Linked DNA regions of Arabidopsis thaliana. The protein of the gene in region 2 interacts with the protein of the main gene of each other region in a pairwise test. Each region holds a gene or a part of one and is shown on either strand. Other genes may lie near its edges.

Region 1 (7,756 bases), on a different chromosome or scaffold from region 2:
AAAATGTGTGTGTTTGTGTTAATTTGAATACACCGATTCATCCAAAAACCATCTGAACAGTCTCTTAATTAGTTTACCGTGTATATATATCATATTTATGGGATCATATTTGGTTAAGTTTAACTAGTAGTTTCAAATTTCGCGTTAATAGCTATTTGAAAGGGTAGGAGTACTTTTTCGACCGGTTAACACTCCCATATAAAGCCCATAAATTATTGGAACGCTACAAAATTAACAAAACATCTCTTCAGAAGTTCGTCCGGTTTACTCTACTACAAAGTACATGTATCAAAAACGACAACACGTGCTTCCACAAAATTAAGAACCAGGACGTGATGTCGTTGTTGTAATACTTTTTTCTCGCCAACTTCACGCCGTCTTAGTTTACCGAAACCAAAGTGGCTTTTTCTGATTTTATCCAATACAATGACGTGGAAAGACTCAAAAGAAGCTTTCGCCACGTTCCACCAATGAATGTTCGACACGTATCGTCGAGTTTCTTTTTCTTTATGCTTACGTCATCGCACACGTCTATCTTCTTTTGGTTAAAGTGATAAAAAGGAAAGTCGTAAATGGCTTCGTCACTGAGTCTTTCCTACTATTTTAACCCCATTAGTGACACTCCTTTCTTCTCCACTACACTCCATTTCTCTTTCTTCTTGACTCGACCATCGTTTCTCTAATCTCCGCAACTATGGCTTCATTTACGAAAACGGTGTGTGGGGTTTCACGATCCCGAGATCATACTTTTTTCCCTCCTCGTACGTAACGATTTTTTTTTGTGATTATTAATCCAAGGTTTTTTGGCGTCTCTTTTAGGTTTTGATCCCTATTGCGCACGGTACGGAGCCTCTAGAAGCGGTGGCGATGATTACCGTGTTGCGTCGAGGTGGTGCTGACGTGACGGTGGCGTCTGTTGAGACTCAGGTTGGCGTTGATGCTTGTCATGGCATCAAGATGGTCGCTGATACTCTTCTCTCTGATATTACCGACTCTGTTTTCGACCTTATTGTGCTCCCCGTAAGTCTCTCTGCTGATTTAACATTGTCCATTTGTTTTGTTTCTTTGTGTGTAATCTAAGAACTAAGGACAGCCAATAAGTGGATCGATCAATTATCAATTAGCTCACTTAACTAAAGTTTCGAAAGTGATGTTTATAGTTCCTACTAAGAACGATGGTTTTTAGATGTATCTGTTGCAACTTTTGTTCTCTGAAACAACTTCATAGATTCTTGTTTTCTGAAAGATTTCATAATTGTGTTGCTGATATACTTTTTGATATGATTGGGAAAAGGGAGGGCTTCCCGGTGGCGAGACTCTTAAAAACTGTAAATCTTTAGAGAACATGGTCAAGAAACAAGACTCTGATGGCCGACTTAACGCAGCTATATGTTGTGCTCCTGCCTTGGCTCTTGGTACTTGGGGTCTACTAGAAGGCAAGAAAGTAAGTCAGAAGTGATCAGTATATTTCCAAGGGCGTTTATTTATCTTTTTTTCAGGCCTTGTAATGTCTTGTTATTACATGGGGTTTCTTGCAGGCAACGGGTTACCCTGTTTTTATGGAGAAACTTGCGGCTACTTGTGCAACTGCTGTTGAGTCAAGAGTGCAAATTGATGGAAGAATAGTGACCAGTCGTGGACCAGGAACCACCATTGAATTCTCCATCACGCTTATAGAGCAGTTGTTTGGGAAAGAAAAAGCTGATGAAGTCTCCAGTATCTTGGTATGTTTTGTCTCTGCCTCTTTTATCAACCGCTGTGGTACGTGTTCATGTCACCTCCTCGTAGACTTACTTGTTATCCTTTTGAAATCAGCTGCTTCGTCCTAACCCTGGTGAGGAGTTTACTTTTACTGAGCTTAACCAAACAAACTGGTCATTTGAAGATACACCACAGGTAAATGTTCAGTTGCCTCTCCACTTGGCCCTTTTAACATTTTTCCAAGACAGGCTTTGTTTGATCCGTTATACAGATTCCTAGGAACATGCTGTGTTGTAAAGCTTTTGTCTTTCTTGATCAATAGTCTTTTATGAGTCAGAGAGATAATGTTTTCCCTTTTCAGATTCTCGTACCCATTGCAGAGGAGTCAGAGGAAATTGAAGCTATAGCGCTTGTAGATATCCTGAGGCGGGCAAAAGCAAATGTAGTGATTGCTGCAGTTGGTAACAGTTTGGAAGTTGAAGGATCTCGCAAAGCTAAGCTAGTAGCAGAAGTTCTTCTTGATGAGGTTGCAGAGAAGTCGTTTGATCTGATTGTGTTACCTGTGAGTATTGCTAACTTCCAAAATGTGAATATACTATTTAGTCTTAAATTAAATTTTAATATTCTATGATGACAAATAACCAAAAACATAATCCAACTTCTTTGATGAACTACAGGGCGGTCTTAACGGTGCTCAAAGATTCGCAAGCTGCGAGAAGCTAGTTAATATGTTAAGGAAACAGGCAGAAGCAAACAAACCATATGGAGGAATCTGCGCATCGCCTGCTTACGTCTTCGAGCCTAATGGTTTACTCAAGGTGCATAAATCAAACAGTACTAGAATTGTAGTTTCTTGTTCTATCTTTTAAGTCATTAAACTGAGATATAAGAGACATGTTTTGTATAGGGTAAGAAGGCTACTACTCACCCAGTGGTGAGCGACAAACTTTCGGACAAGAGTCACATTGAGCACAGAGTCGTGGTAGATGGAAATGTCATAACAAGCAGAGCTCCAGGGACTGCAATGGAGTTTTCACTTGCCATTGTCGAAAAGTTTTACGGGCGAGAGAAAGCTCTTCAGCTCGGAAAGGCAACACTTGTGTGATTTCAAACAATGAAAGTATGAGAGTGGCTTGAATAAAAAGAAGGCTTTGCCTTTTAGTTATCTCTCTCCATTAGTAATTACTTACTTTATGATATATGACATATGAGCTTGGCTTAGTGATTGGTGTGTAACTTTATGCCTTTATAAATGAATAAACGAGATTTTTCTATGTATGTTGCCGATATTTTCTTTAAACCTCTGCAAGAGCTAGAGGGTGTGCTGGAGAAAAAAATTATTTTATGGAGAAAGATATTTTAGTCACACATTTTCACCAAATTGACCTTACAATAACTCTAAAATACGAATTTGCCCCTATGTTTAGCTTTGGAATATTTCATATTTGTAAACCATTTAATAATATGATTATTACCAATTTAGTGAAAATAAAATCTTCAGTCTTCTCTTCTTGTATAAAAATAGCTTTTTTATCATTTGAAAACAGAGTAATGTCACTAATTTCTTGGCGAAAATGTGTTTATTTGTAACTTAAGGTAAAATAGGGGCAATTTTGTTGAATCTGATAAGATCAGGGGGTAGTACCGTAGATTTCGCTGTCCAGTTCAGTTATGAAATACCTAAAATGCCCTCGACTCATAATCTACTATTAAACCCTCATAAAACCCTTGATTTCATTTCTAGCTCATCTGTTTTCACACTCTCTCCTAGGGTTTTATCTGCGAAGCCCAATCTAGAGCTTCCATGGCGACGCATACCATTTCTCGATCCATTCTTTGCCGACCGGCGAAATCTCTTTCGTTTCTGTTCACGCGATCCTTTGCTTCATCTGCTCCTCTCGCCAAATCTCCGGCGTCTTCTCTGCTCAGCCGGTCCCGTCCTCTGGTCGCCGCTTTTTCCTCCGTTTTCCGTGGCGGCCTTGTGTCTGTCAAAGGTCTCTCGACGCAGGCTACATCGTCTTCTCTGAACGACCCGAATCCCAACTGGTCGAACAGGCCACCTAAGGAGACGATCCTGCTCGATGGTTGCGATTTCGAGCACTGGCTTGTCGTCGTGGAGCCACCTCAGGGTGAGCCTACTAGAGATGAAATCATTGATAGCTACATCAAAACCCTAGCTCAGATTGTTGGCAGGTAAATCCCCAATTCAAAACTCTCTCTCTCTCTCTCTCTCTCTGTGTATGTTCTTCTAGGGATTTTAGGTTAAATAAGTGAGAAATCCACTACTGTGTATGACGGATCTGTGTGTTTACTTAGATCATTTTTGGAGCTGTAACATGATATATCTCGTTTTGGACATTTCAGTGAAGACGAAGCTAGGATGAAGATCTACTCGGTTTCAACTAGGTGCTACTATGCTTTTGGGGCACTTGTGTCAGAAGATCTTTCTCACAAGTTAAAAGGTTAACTCTTGCCTTTGTTGGGTTTTAGTTTTCCTCATTTCTGTGTTATAATCTGCCTTCTAACTTTCTTCTGTAACTCTCCAGAGTTGTCAAATGTGCGCTGGGTTCTTCCTGACTCTTACCTGGATGTGAGGAACAAAGACTATGGAGGTAGGCTTAAGTGTATTATCTGTATCATAACCTGGGTTTGAAATTGGGGTAGTTGCTTTGCTCGTCCATTATACTTTTGCTGGGTTTGAAATTTTCAAGGGAAACTACCTGTTGCTAGTCTTCGCTCTGTGGACTCGTTACTTGCTCCATGCTTTTGTGTTAGATTGACACATGGGGCGACTTCTATTTATAGTTAATTAACATTGTGGGTGCATCTGTTAGATTTGATTTAGTGATATCTATTGTGAGACTGGTGTTGTAGAAGTCGCAGTGATGTTGCTTTGGTGAGAGTTTAAATCTTTCTGGTGATCCTATTAGAGAGTTAGTTTGATGCGTTTTTGTATATATTGACTTTCAGGGGAACCTTTCATCGATGGGAAGGCTGTTCCTTATGATCCTAAGTACCACGAGGAGTGGATAAGGAACAATGCTAGAGCAAATGAAAGGAACAGACGCAATGACCGTCCTCGCAACAATGATAGAAGCAGAAACTTTGAGAGGAGAAGAGAGAACATGGCAGGAGGCCCTCCTCCTCAACGTCCTCCCATGGGAGGCCCTCCTCCTCCTCCGCACATCGGTGGCTCTGCACCTCCTCCGCCTCATATGGGTGGCTCTGCACCTCCTCCACCTCACATGGGGCAGAACTATGGACCACCACCACCAAACAACATGGGAGGACCAAGGCATCCACCACCTTATGGAGCACCACCGCAAAACAACATGGGAGGACCGAGGCCACCTCAGAACTATGGAGGAACACCACCTCCCAACTATGGAGGAGCACCACCAGCAAACAACATGGGAGGAGCACCACCACCAAACTATGGAGGAGGACCACCACCTCAATATGGAGCAGTACCACCACCTCAATACGGAGGAGCACCCCCACAGAACAACAACTACCAGCAGCAGGGTAGTGGAATGCAGCAGCCACAGTACCAGAACAACTACCCACCTAACCGGGATGGCAGTGGCAACCCCTACCAGGGTTAAAGCAGTTGAAGCAGTCGTGGGTTTCCTTTTTAATCATGCATTCTGGGCTGTGTATAGATAATTTGAGGAAGAGAGAGTGCAGTAGCAAGACTTTAAAACTCCTTTTATCTCGAGTGTTTATCAGTCTGGGATTATGTGAGAGAGAATAGCCTAAGTTACTGTGGCATGGTTAGAACTTTTCACTCTTGCGTTTCTTTTTAGTAGTTTATATCCTAAATCGATCTCAAGTTCTTCCTTGTGATGCTTGCTACTCTTATGTCCACTCCTGGTTCTGCATTAAACGGGATTTAGTAACATGTCTCCCACAGGCTATTGTTTTGTGTCTTTCTTTGGCTTCTTCCTAGTCTTAATTTCTAATTCCCCAATCATGTTTACATGGGAATGGGATACTCATATTATAACAGGAAGAATGACAAATGTCATCAATATCATATTTCTTTCGACAAACTTGACAGAACACACAATTTGATGATGAGAGAGAGAAGCGGGTGTGAAGTAACAAGATGGGCTTTGTGTTCTTTATCCCGGCCCATCATTCTAAATTTCAGCCCAAAATGGAAAATCTCGTAACCGTATAAAGCCCTCGCTTCCCTCATATGTTTTTCCGCCGTCACATATTTTCCCCTCTTTTTTTTCGTGTCAGATTCGCTTTCTCTACGGCTGGACTAGAAGGATTAGGGATTTACCGGTGAAAGAATAACTCCAGAGATAAATCTGTAACCATGGATATGATGAAGAAGCGTAAGCTCGATGAGAACGGTAACGGACTCAATACCAACGGTGGCGGAACCATTGGTCCAACTCGATTGTCGCCGCAAGACGCGAGGAAGATTATCGAGCGATTCACCACTGATCAGCTGCTCGACTTATTGCAAGAGGCTATCGTACGCCATCCCGACGTGCTTGAATCTGTCCGATTAACCGCCGACTCTGATATCTCGCAGCGGAAGCTATTCATCCGTGGTCTCGCGGCGGATACTACTACGGAAGGTCTCCGTTCGCTTTTTTCCAGTTACGGAGATCTAGAAGAAGCTATTGTGATCCTTGACAAGGTCACTGGGAAATCGAAAGGGTATGGTTTCGTCACTTTTATGCACGTTGATGGAGCTTTACTAGCTCTGAAAGAACCATCTAAGAAAATTGATGGGCGTGTTACAGTAACGCAGCTCGCGGCATCTGGAAATCAAGGTACGGGTTCCCAGATTGCAGATATATCAATGAGGAAGATCTATGTGGCGAATGTTCCTTTTGATATGCCGGCGGATAGGCTATTGAATCACTTTATGGCTTATGGAGATGTTGAGGAAGGTCCTTTGGGTTTTGATAAGGTTACTGGTAAATCTAGAGGCTTTGCATTGTTTGTCTACAAGACAGCGGAAGGTGCGCAGGCTGCTCTTGCTGATCCGGTGAAGGTGATTGATGGAAAACATTTGAATTGTAAGTTGGCTGTTGATGGTAAGAAAGGAGGGAAGCCTGGAATGCCACAAGCTCAAGATGGTGGTTCTGGTCATGGACACGTTCATGGTGAGGGAATGGGAATGGTGCGTCCTGCAGGACCTTATGGTGCAGCTGGTGGTATCAGTGCTTATGGTGGGTACTCTGGAGGACCACCAGCGCATCACATGAATTCCACACACTCCTCAATGGGTGTTGGTTCTGCTGGGTATGGTGGACACTATGGTGGATATGGAGGTCCAGGTGGTACTGGCGTCTACGGTGGACTTGGCGGTGGGTATGGTGGGCCTGGTACTGGAAGTGGGCAGTATAGAATGCCACCAAGTTCGATGCCTGGTGGTGGTGGTTATCCCGAGAGTGGGCATTACGGTCTTTCATCATCTGCTGGGTATCCTGGACAGCATCATCAGGCTGTTGGAACGTCCCCTGTGCCAAGAGTTCCTCATGGCGGAATGTACCCCAACGGTCCACCAAACTACTGAAAAGGTGCGGTTGTTCTCCCTTGTATATTTTGGGGTTTAAGAGTGTGTTGCATTATCATGATTCATTGCATAGTTATATATTCTTCCCTACTTTGTGGCATATTGTTTTTGCAGGTTGTGCGTAATTTTCTTGCTAGAAATTCTCTGCTATTCTTTTCCCTGTGTCTCTTTTAGTCTATTTGCTTGTTAGTACTGTGTTAGCTACTTGATGCAATGCCTTTAGTCGATGTTTTTTTGCTTGTGTTCATTCCTTTATTTTAACGCATGAAAGATAGCCAGAAAAGTGGCACCTTGAACCCTTTTATGGGGAATGTTTGTGGCATTCTTTCATGCAGTTTTTCTGTTTGTCTTTAAGCTGCTAGTCTGTGCACCATGCTTTGTCTCTCTATCATTTACTTTTTGTAGTAATGAGAGTACGCATGTGATCGTTCCATCTTGAGTCCTTGTTTTCCTTCTCAGTATTTAATCTTCTTCTGAGGATAGCATGAGGTTGATTTCTTTGATAATGCTAAT
Region 2 (7,334 bases):
TGTACCAAAATAATGGTATACAATGGACCACAAAGCACACTCAACAAGGAAAAGAATCCGGTTTGATTCGGTTTACTTAAACCGCTCGGATTTCAATACGGATCAACCCAACATGTATCATCCCTCACAGCTTTCTTCCAACGTTCCTTGAATCTCTTCATCTCCACAAATGATTTCATCCTCACTTCTGGTCTATTATCCACTTCACGAGACTCTAATGATTCCTGTGAAATCTCAACCAAATTATTTCATACAAAATCATAACACATAACTGCTTCAAGAAACATATAGAAAACACTAGTAGCACATACCGTTGATTTCGAGTCTGTCTCATTCCGCAAAGCGCTTGAAGCGGTTTCAACCACACCGAGCGTTGGAAGACCATAATGAATTATGTACTCCGCATCAACAACACCGACATTTTTCTTTCGGTCACCCTATCCGCAACCAAGAACATGTTAGTAAAAACCGTACAATGAAGGAAGTAAGGGCTTATCAAAACAAGTTAGAAGAAGAAACAAACTTGAGCACAATAACCAAGCTGCGTATCCAGACCCCAAGCATGGATCAAATCATTCTGCAACGCAAACGAAAGCATTAAACCCAATCCTCTCGACTCGGGGAACAAAAAACGAATGCTACACAAATGTTACCTGAATCATATACCAAGAACATCTCCATGCAGCTCTAGAGAAAACAGGTGCCATCATTTCCACCCACCTACAGATCCAAGTTACATGTTAACTGGAGAATGAGGTAGAAAGAGAGTTTCAAGAACATTTCACGGAATATGCGAAAAGCGTTTACCCGATGCAAGGAGGATTGGTGCTATGGTCATCACATCGCCCGCTACCTTTGTATTTATACATTCTTCTATGAACTTTTGATTTTTTTCGACGAGCGGTTATAGGATGATGCACTTCTGATTTTGAAGTGTCAAGAGCAGGTTGCGATATCTCAAGCCCCTCTTCTTTGACAATAGATAGATATCTAAAGTAAAACGATTGGAATGAGAAATGAAAAAAGATAAAAAAGAACACAAATTCTATATTTAGTGTGTTACCGTTGAGGATTGAAATGACCAACACCAAGATCTTCGTCCCAAAGAAATATATACTCGTACTCTGCAACTATATCGGGATGCAAGAATCGCTTGGCGAACCACCTTGTGACATTAACAACATTCAAGTATTAGAGAGTATATGATGGTTGACGAAAACAATAACAAGAAGTTCAAGAAAACGGACCATTTTGTTTGATTCATCACGGAAACATGAATCGCATGATTATTCCATGGATACTGCTTCCAGTCATCGACAACACCATCATAATGAAAAAGCATGACCGCGAAATCTCGAGGAGGAAACTGAAGTCACAGCAATTTGTATAACTAATCGAAATAAAAGACGAAAATCTTGCTGATAGAAACAATCAAATGAGAAAACAAAACCTTTTGGATAACTTTGTTAACTAGCTCCTTTTGCTTGATACCGACCGCCATGGCTAACAAACTCATCGAATGGTTAGGCCTTCTCTGAAAGAAATATACAGCAAAAGATTAAGCTACACGAAAAAAAAGCAATGAAACTTTCCAAATCTTTGAGGAATCATGTAACTACTAAATAACCTTTTTTGTGTCATCGTAGTTCCATAGATGTTGTGTTTCCAGGTTCGATGTTTTCTCGATAATTCCTTGCGGTAGTGCTTCAGTACCCACTGGCTTATTGAAATTCTAGTGAAAGATATATATATTTGTAAGTTTAATATCAAAGAATCTCATAAAACAAACCTCAAAGAATATTTCAAAGACAAACCTTGCATGTACTGGTTGTTGTTGCATTCTGCATCTTATCAGTACTGTTATGCATCTTATCAGTGATTTCCCACTTCAGCAACTTCTGCAGATTTATAATCTTATACATCAAATTCAGAAATCTAAACTTATTGTTCTAATGTTGACTATAAAACCAGAATTATTCAACAATGTCATGTTATTTACATGTCGGAAAAAAACACTACTGATTACACAAAAAGACAGCTGAACAATTTAACCAAAATGACAGTATCATAGAACACATATAGATCTTAAGTGATGCCAAATACAAAGAAGTTTACCTCTTTAAAGTCTTTAGCAAGATAAGCATTGCAAATGAAGTAAGCACCACAAATCAGAGCAGTGGTGATTAAGACACTACAGAGACACGATCTATTCATTGAACCCTGCAATTTAGAGAATTGATAATAAGACTTTGAGACGAAAACATAGATCAGAGCCTAGAGACAAGAGGTTTTAAATCACACATCAGAAGAACACTGAGCAAGGTTATAAACTATTAACAATATTTGAATCATCAGTAATAAAAAATCTTATTTGATTCAATAGGACAATGAGGACAATTTGGAAAAGACAATAATTTGACAGATATTTTTTTTAGATTTTCCTCTATGTTTACACATGAGAAGAAGATATAGCTAAAAAATTCCTAAACTATGCACATAATTATCTAACTGAATTCATCATCGTCAACAATTAAACAGCCAATAGACACAAAAATTGGATATATGAATGAAATCAATAAAAAAAGAAGAGACCAAGGAAGAAGAAAATATGTATTCTCACCTGTTTCATGAATTAGATGATTTGTTTTTCTCTGTTTCTGCCTTTTGTGTTTCTCTGAAAATTGAAGCTTTTTTTACCCTCTCAAAAAGGTTTCTTTTAAGACAGAATAAACCCTTTTCGAAAGAGAAGAGGAAGAGACCAAAGTAGACGAAGAAACGAATATCCTGAACTTGGTCGTTTCAAATTCTCTTCTCGAATTTGGAAGCTTTAAACAATAAAGATTCTGTTTTTTATCTTCTTCCGAGTCTAAGAAGAAGCTTTTTATTAGCTCAGTTGCTTCATAAAACCCAGAAACGGTAAGTGATAAAGAAGATTGAAGTCAGTCAAAGAGACACGTTTCAGAGATCGTGTAGCAAAATTCAAGGGTTTTCAGGAGAGAGAGACAACAAATGCAGAGAGGAAAGTGGGAAGTGATGAGACACGTGTTTTACGTTTATTGGTTTTGATATTAAGTCGTGTGTGTACTGTATATTTGTCTCTCGCTTAGGAATTTGAAACCGACCGAGATATTATTTGTTGTCGTCATAATTACCAGATCAGATTATAAACTTTTAATTCTCTTTACCAAAATAAATAAAAAAGAGAACTTTATCTGATTTTTTTTCCGGCGGGAGATCTCTGTGTGAAGCTTCTTCTCTTTCTCCATCGCCGACAATGTTTTCGTTATCGTTAATCCAACCGCGTCTCCGGATTTCAGAGATTCCGGTGACTCAATCCTACAAATCTCCGACGATATGTTACAGTAGCGATTCAAGAACTAAGCGAGAGGAACAGAGACACGTGAGATTACCTGGGTTTCGATTAGTTTCTGGAAAGAGAGCATCTTTCGATTCGGGTTTTAGTGGTTTCAAAGGAGAGAATGTGAATCAGGATGATTCGTCTTCTTTCGATAGCGAAAGAGTTGATTATGCTCTGTTAGCGGAGTGGCTACAGTCTTCTAATGGGATGCGACTCATTAAAAGGATCCATGCGATGGCGTTGAAGTGTTTTGATGATCAAGTTATCTATTTTGGGAACAATTTGATTAGTTCTTGTGTTAGACTTGGTGATTTGGTTTATGCACGTAAAGTGTTCGACAGTATGCCTGAGAAAAATACTGTTACTTGGACTGCTATGATTGATGGGTATTTGAAGTATGGTCTTGAGGATGAGGCTTTTGCACTGTTTGAGGATTATGTGAAGCATGGAATACGTTTTACGAACGAGAGGATGTTTGTGTGTTTGTTGAATCTGTGTAGTAGGAGAGCAGAGTTTGAGTTAGGGAGACAAGTTCATGGTAATATGGTGAAAGTTGGAGTGGGGAATCTCATTGTGGAGAGTTCTCTTGTTTATTTTTATGCGCAATGCGGTGAATTGACAAGTGCGTTACGAGCTTTTGATATGATGGAGGAGAAAGATGTGATATCTTGGACTGCTGTTATATCGGCGTGTTCGAGAAAAGGGCATGGAATTAAAGCTATAGGCATGTTTATCGGAATGTTGAATCACTGGTTTTTGCCTAACGAGTTTACGGTGTGCAGTATTTTGAAGGCTTGTAGTGAGGAGAAAGCGTTAAGATTCGGAAGGCAAGTACACAGCTTGGTTGTTAAGAGGATGATAAAGACAGATGTTTTTGTGGGAACTTCGCTGATGGACATGTATGCTAAGTGTGGGGAGATTTCTGATTGCAGAAAAGTGTTTGATGGAATGAGTAATAGAAACACGGTCACATGGACTTCGATTATAGCTGCTCATGCTCGGGAAGGTTTTGGTGAGGAAGCTATCAGCCTCTTCCGGATAATGAAGAGGCGGCATTTGATTGCTAACAATTTGACAGTAGTAAGCATTCTTAGAGCGTGTGGATCTGTTGGAGCTTTATTGTTGGGGAAGGAACTTCATGCACAGATTATCAAGAATTCGATCGAAAAGAATGTCTATATAGGAAGTACTTTGGTGTGGCTGTATTGTAAATGCGGAGAATCTCGTGACGCTTTCAATGTTCTCCAGCAATTGCCATCTAGAGATGTGGTTTCATGGACCGCTATGATCTCTGGATGTTCGAGCTTAGGACATGAATCGGAAGCGCTAGACTTCTTGAAAGAGATGATTCAAGAAGGTGTAGAGCCAAACCCATTTACATACTCCTCGGCTTTAAAAGCTTGTGCGAATTCAGAATCTCTTCTTATCGGTAGATCAATCCATTCCATTGCAAAGAAGAATCATGCTCTATCAAATGTCTTTGTGGGAAGTGCTTTGATTCACATGTATGCAAAATGTGGATTTGTCTCGGAAGCTTTTCGGGTTTTTGACAGTATGCCTGAGAAGAACTTGGTTTCATGGAAGGCGATGATAATGGGTTATGCGAGGAATGGGTTTTGCAGGGAAGCATTGAAGCTAATGTATAGAATGGAGGCAGAGGGATTTGAAGTTGATGATTATATATTTGCAACAATTCTCTCTACTTGTGGAGATATTGAGCTCGATGAAGCTGTTGAATCTTCTGCAACTTGTTACTTGGAGACATCTTGATCTTTCTTCTTTAGAATCTCTTTTTTTTTCAAGTTCTTTCTTATATGATAAAGTTTATGAAAAAAAAGATGCGTTCCACAATAGCACCAAATGTACAAATTTCATGTCGAATATTTCTTCTTTGCAATTAGCCAATGCAAGAATTTTAATGATGACCAATTATATCTATTAAGAAAAAAGTAGATTGATATATTTCAATTTAAGACTTAAGAACCTAGTTTTAATGGGCTTTTTCAAAATAGATTTATGGGCCTTAGTGACACATTTCCATTTACAGCTTGAATGAATCCATTTTTTTTCTTTGACGACTAAAATAAAAGATTCAGTTGAGGTGCCAATAAAGTGTGATTTTTTTTTGTAAGGTTGGATCTTGTTTACTAATAATTTGAACGCACTAGTTAAGTAATACTAGTATTTAATCAAATTTCTAAGTTGAATCTTTAAACAAACATTTTTAATGATAAAAATATGCTATATATAGACTATATGAAGTCCCTTTACTTTTTTTAAAAATGATTTACAATTTCAATTGAGGTCATGATCATCTCTTTCTTGAATCAGAATGCACACTATAGGTCCCCACTTTGGCACAATGAACCGAGTTGCTGCTTCCAAGTTTATGGCCTTTTGATGGTTTTATATTCTCATCGTAATTAAAGCTTATTCTTTCCATCTTATATAATGCTTAGATAATCTTAAGTGCCTGGATAAGACCCTTTGAATTTGTGTTGATTAATGACTATTTCGATACGTATCTATACTGGTTAATAGACGAAAATTTTATATTATCAACTACCTGCCTCTTCATAGTACTGTTTTATTCTAGTGAGAAAACATTTTGTCTTTTGAATGATGTAAAATGCGTAAACTATTTTATTTTATATGTTATGCCTTATTTTTAGTATGATTGTACACACAAGTTTATACCCTATAAAGTATATACTATAAAGGTGCCTACTAATCTTTATGCTTAGTAGTATGTATATTTGATTTTTGTTTAAAAACTAAAGCTAAACAAATTGGTGTCAACACTATCATATTATATACTTGATATGGTGTTAATTTTAAAAAAAAAAATCTCAAGATTTATATACAAATAAATTAGGATAGATAACTCATTGAAATAATTTAATTTATCTCGATAACCTCCTCTCATTTTCTCTTTGCGATAGAAATTTGTGAAAATTAGTTTTGAAAATTGCCTAAATAAACGAGTTTCAAAAAAAGATGGTCACAATCTAAAACACGTTTGGTTATGCTTACAATGATGTTTGTATACAATATGCTTTGTAAGAAACATCAGTTTTTAAATTTTTATAAAACTTCATAAAATTTCTTTAAAACACTTAAAAAATATATTTGAAAATATCTTTCGAAAATTTCATGTTTTCCGTCAATACAATAAGTCATTATTGTAATATTATCTCATATTGGAATTGAAGATAATTCAATATTTGTCAATTGGTTTTTGGGTTAGAAACTCTTAATTATCCGGCAAAGATTTTCTTCGTCTATGGACAATCATTTTTTTTGTTAAATCAGGAATATTTTGTATAAAAAAAATATATGAAAGTGCTAGTTCTTGAAAAGCAATATATTTTGTTCATTACCTCATTGCCGCATTTATATAAAATCCAAATCGTGCGTATGTGTACTATAATGATAAGAAGATCACGATGCTTATAATATCTTTTGCATGATATTAATCAATATTAAACAGAAAAGGAAAAGCTACTATCATTTAGAAGAGGGTCCATTTTGGTCGTGTGATAAGTCATTAGGTTTTGGCGTAACTCATAAAAATACGATTTGCTTTTAACGAAAAAAGATTGCTTCACGCTTGCCGTCTTTTGTTCGTCGATAAAAAAGATTTTATTATATATATGATGCCATTTACAGCCGAATAATCCTCCATTTTGGTCTTCACGTTCTTTAACTTTTAGGTCGATGCTTTTTTCGTTATCTTATTATATGTGTTTGTGTATAATGTTCAATTGTTTAATTAGTTTACTTTTGATATGCATATGATTTTCATCTGAATCTGTCTTTCTCACTCATGAGTCATCATGACATTTCATCCATGGGACGATCGTAGTACTATTAGGTGTTTGGTTTACTGTAAAAGCATATTTAGTTAAAGATTTCTGATAGATTATTTTGCAACTCTTTCTTATAAAAATCGATGGAGCAAACGCTTTAAGTTAAG

What was found. The genes of interacting proteins can lie anywhere in the genome.
Region 1: the proteins of AT4G18520 (region 2) and RIP1 interact in a two-hybrid assay, tested with the Arabidopsis thaliana proteins (one study listed by BioGRID).

The regions. Positions count from the first base shown.
Region 1 is NC_003074.8:5,046,816-5,054,571, forward strand, and holds RIP1 (cobalt ion binding protein), read left to right. Parts: upstream 1-3,379; 5' UTR 3,380-3,505; coding exon 3,506-3,894; intron 3,895-4,065; coding exon 4,066-4,163; intron 4,164-4,247; coding exon 4,248-4,313; intron 4,314-4,671; coding exon 4,672-5,306; 3' UTR 5,307-5,640; downstream 5,641-7,756. Other genes in the region: DJ1A (Class I glutamine amidotransferase-like superfamily protein), read left to right, coding at 695-715, 820-1,020, 1,295-1,444, 1,539-1,724, 1,816-1,896, 2,063-2,263, 2,379-2,519, 2,609-2,806; AT3G15010 (RNA-binding (RRM/RBD/RNP motifs) family protein), read left to right, coding at 6,029-7,243. UniProt on the Arabidopsis thaliana protein: Involved in organellar RNA editing. Required for the processing of numerous RNA editing sites in mitochondria and plastids. Binds to the plastid RARE1 factor, a pentatricopeptide repeat-containing protein involved in RNA editing.
Region 2 is NC_003075.7:10,213,044-10,220,377, reverse strand, and holds AT4G18520 (Pentatricopeptide repeat (PPR) superfamily protein), read left to right. Parts: upstream 1-3,163; 5' UTR 3,164-3,274; coding exon 3,275-5,128; 3' UTR 5,129-5,282; downstream 5,283-7,334. Other genes in the region: AT4G18530 (lysine ketoglutarate reductase trans-splicing-like protein, putative (DUF707)), read right to left, coding at 93-224, 312-437, 524-577, 654-720, 808-990, 1,064-1,165, 1,248-1,366, 1,451-1,534 and 4 more. UniProt on the Arabidopsis thaliana protein: Required for proper chloroplast development. Involved in the regulation of plastid gene expression probably through regulation of plastid-encoded polymerase (PEP) dependent chloroplast transcription.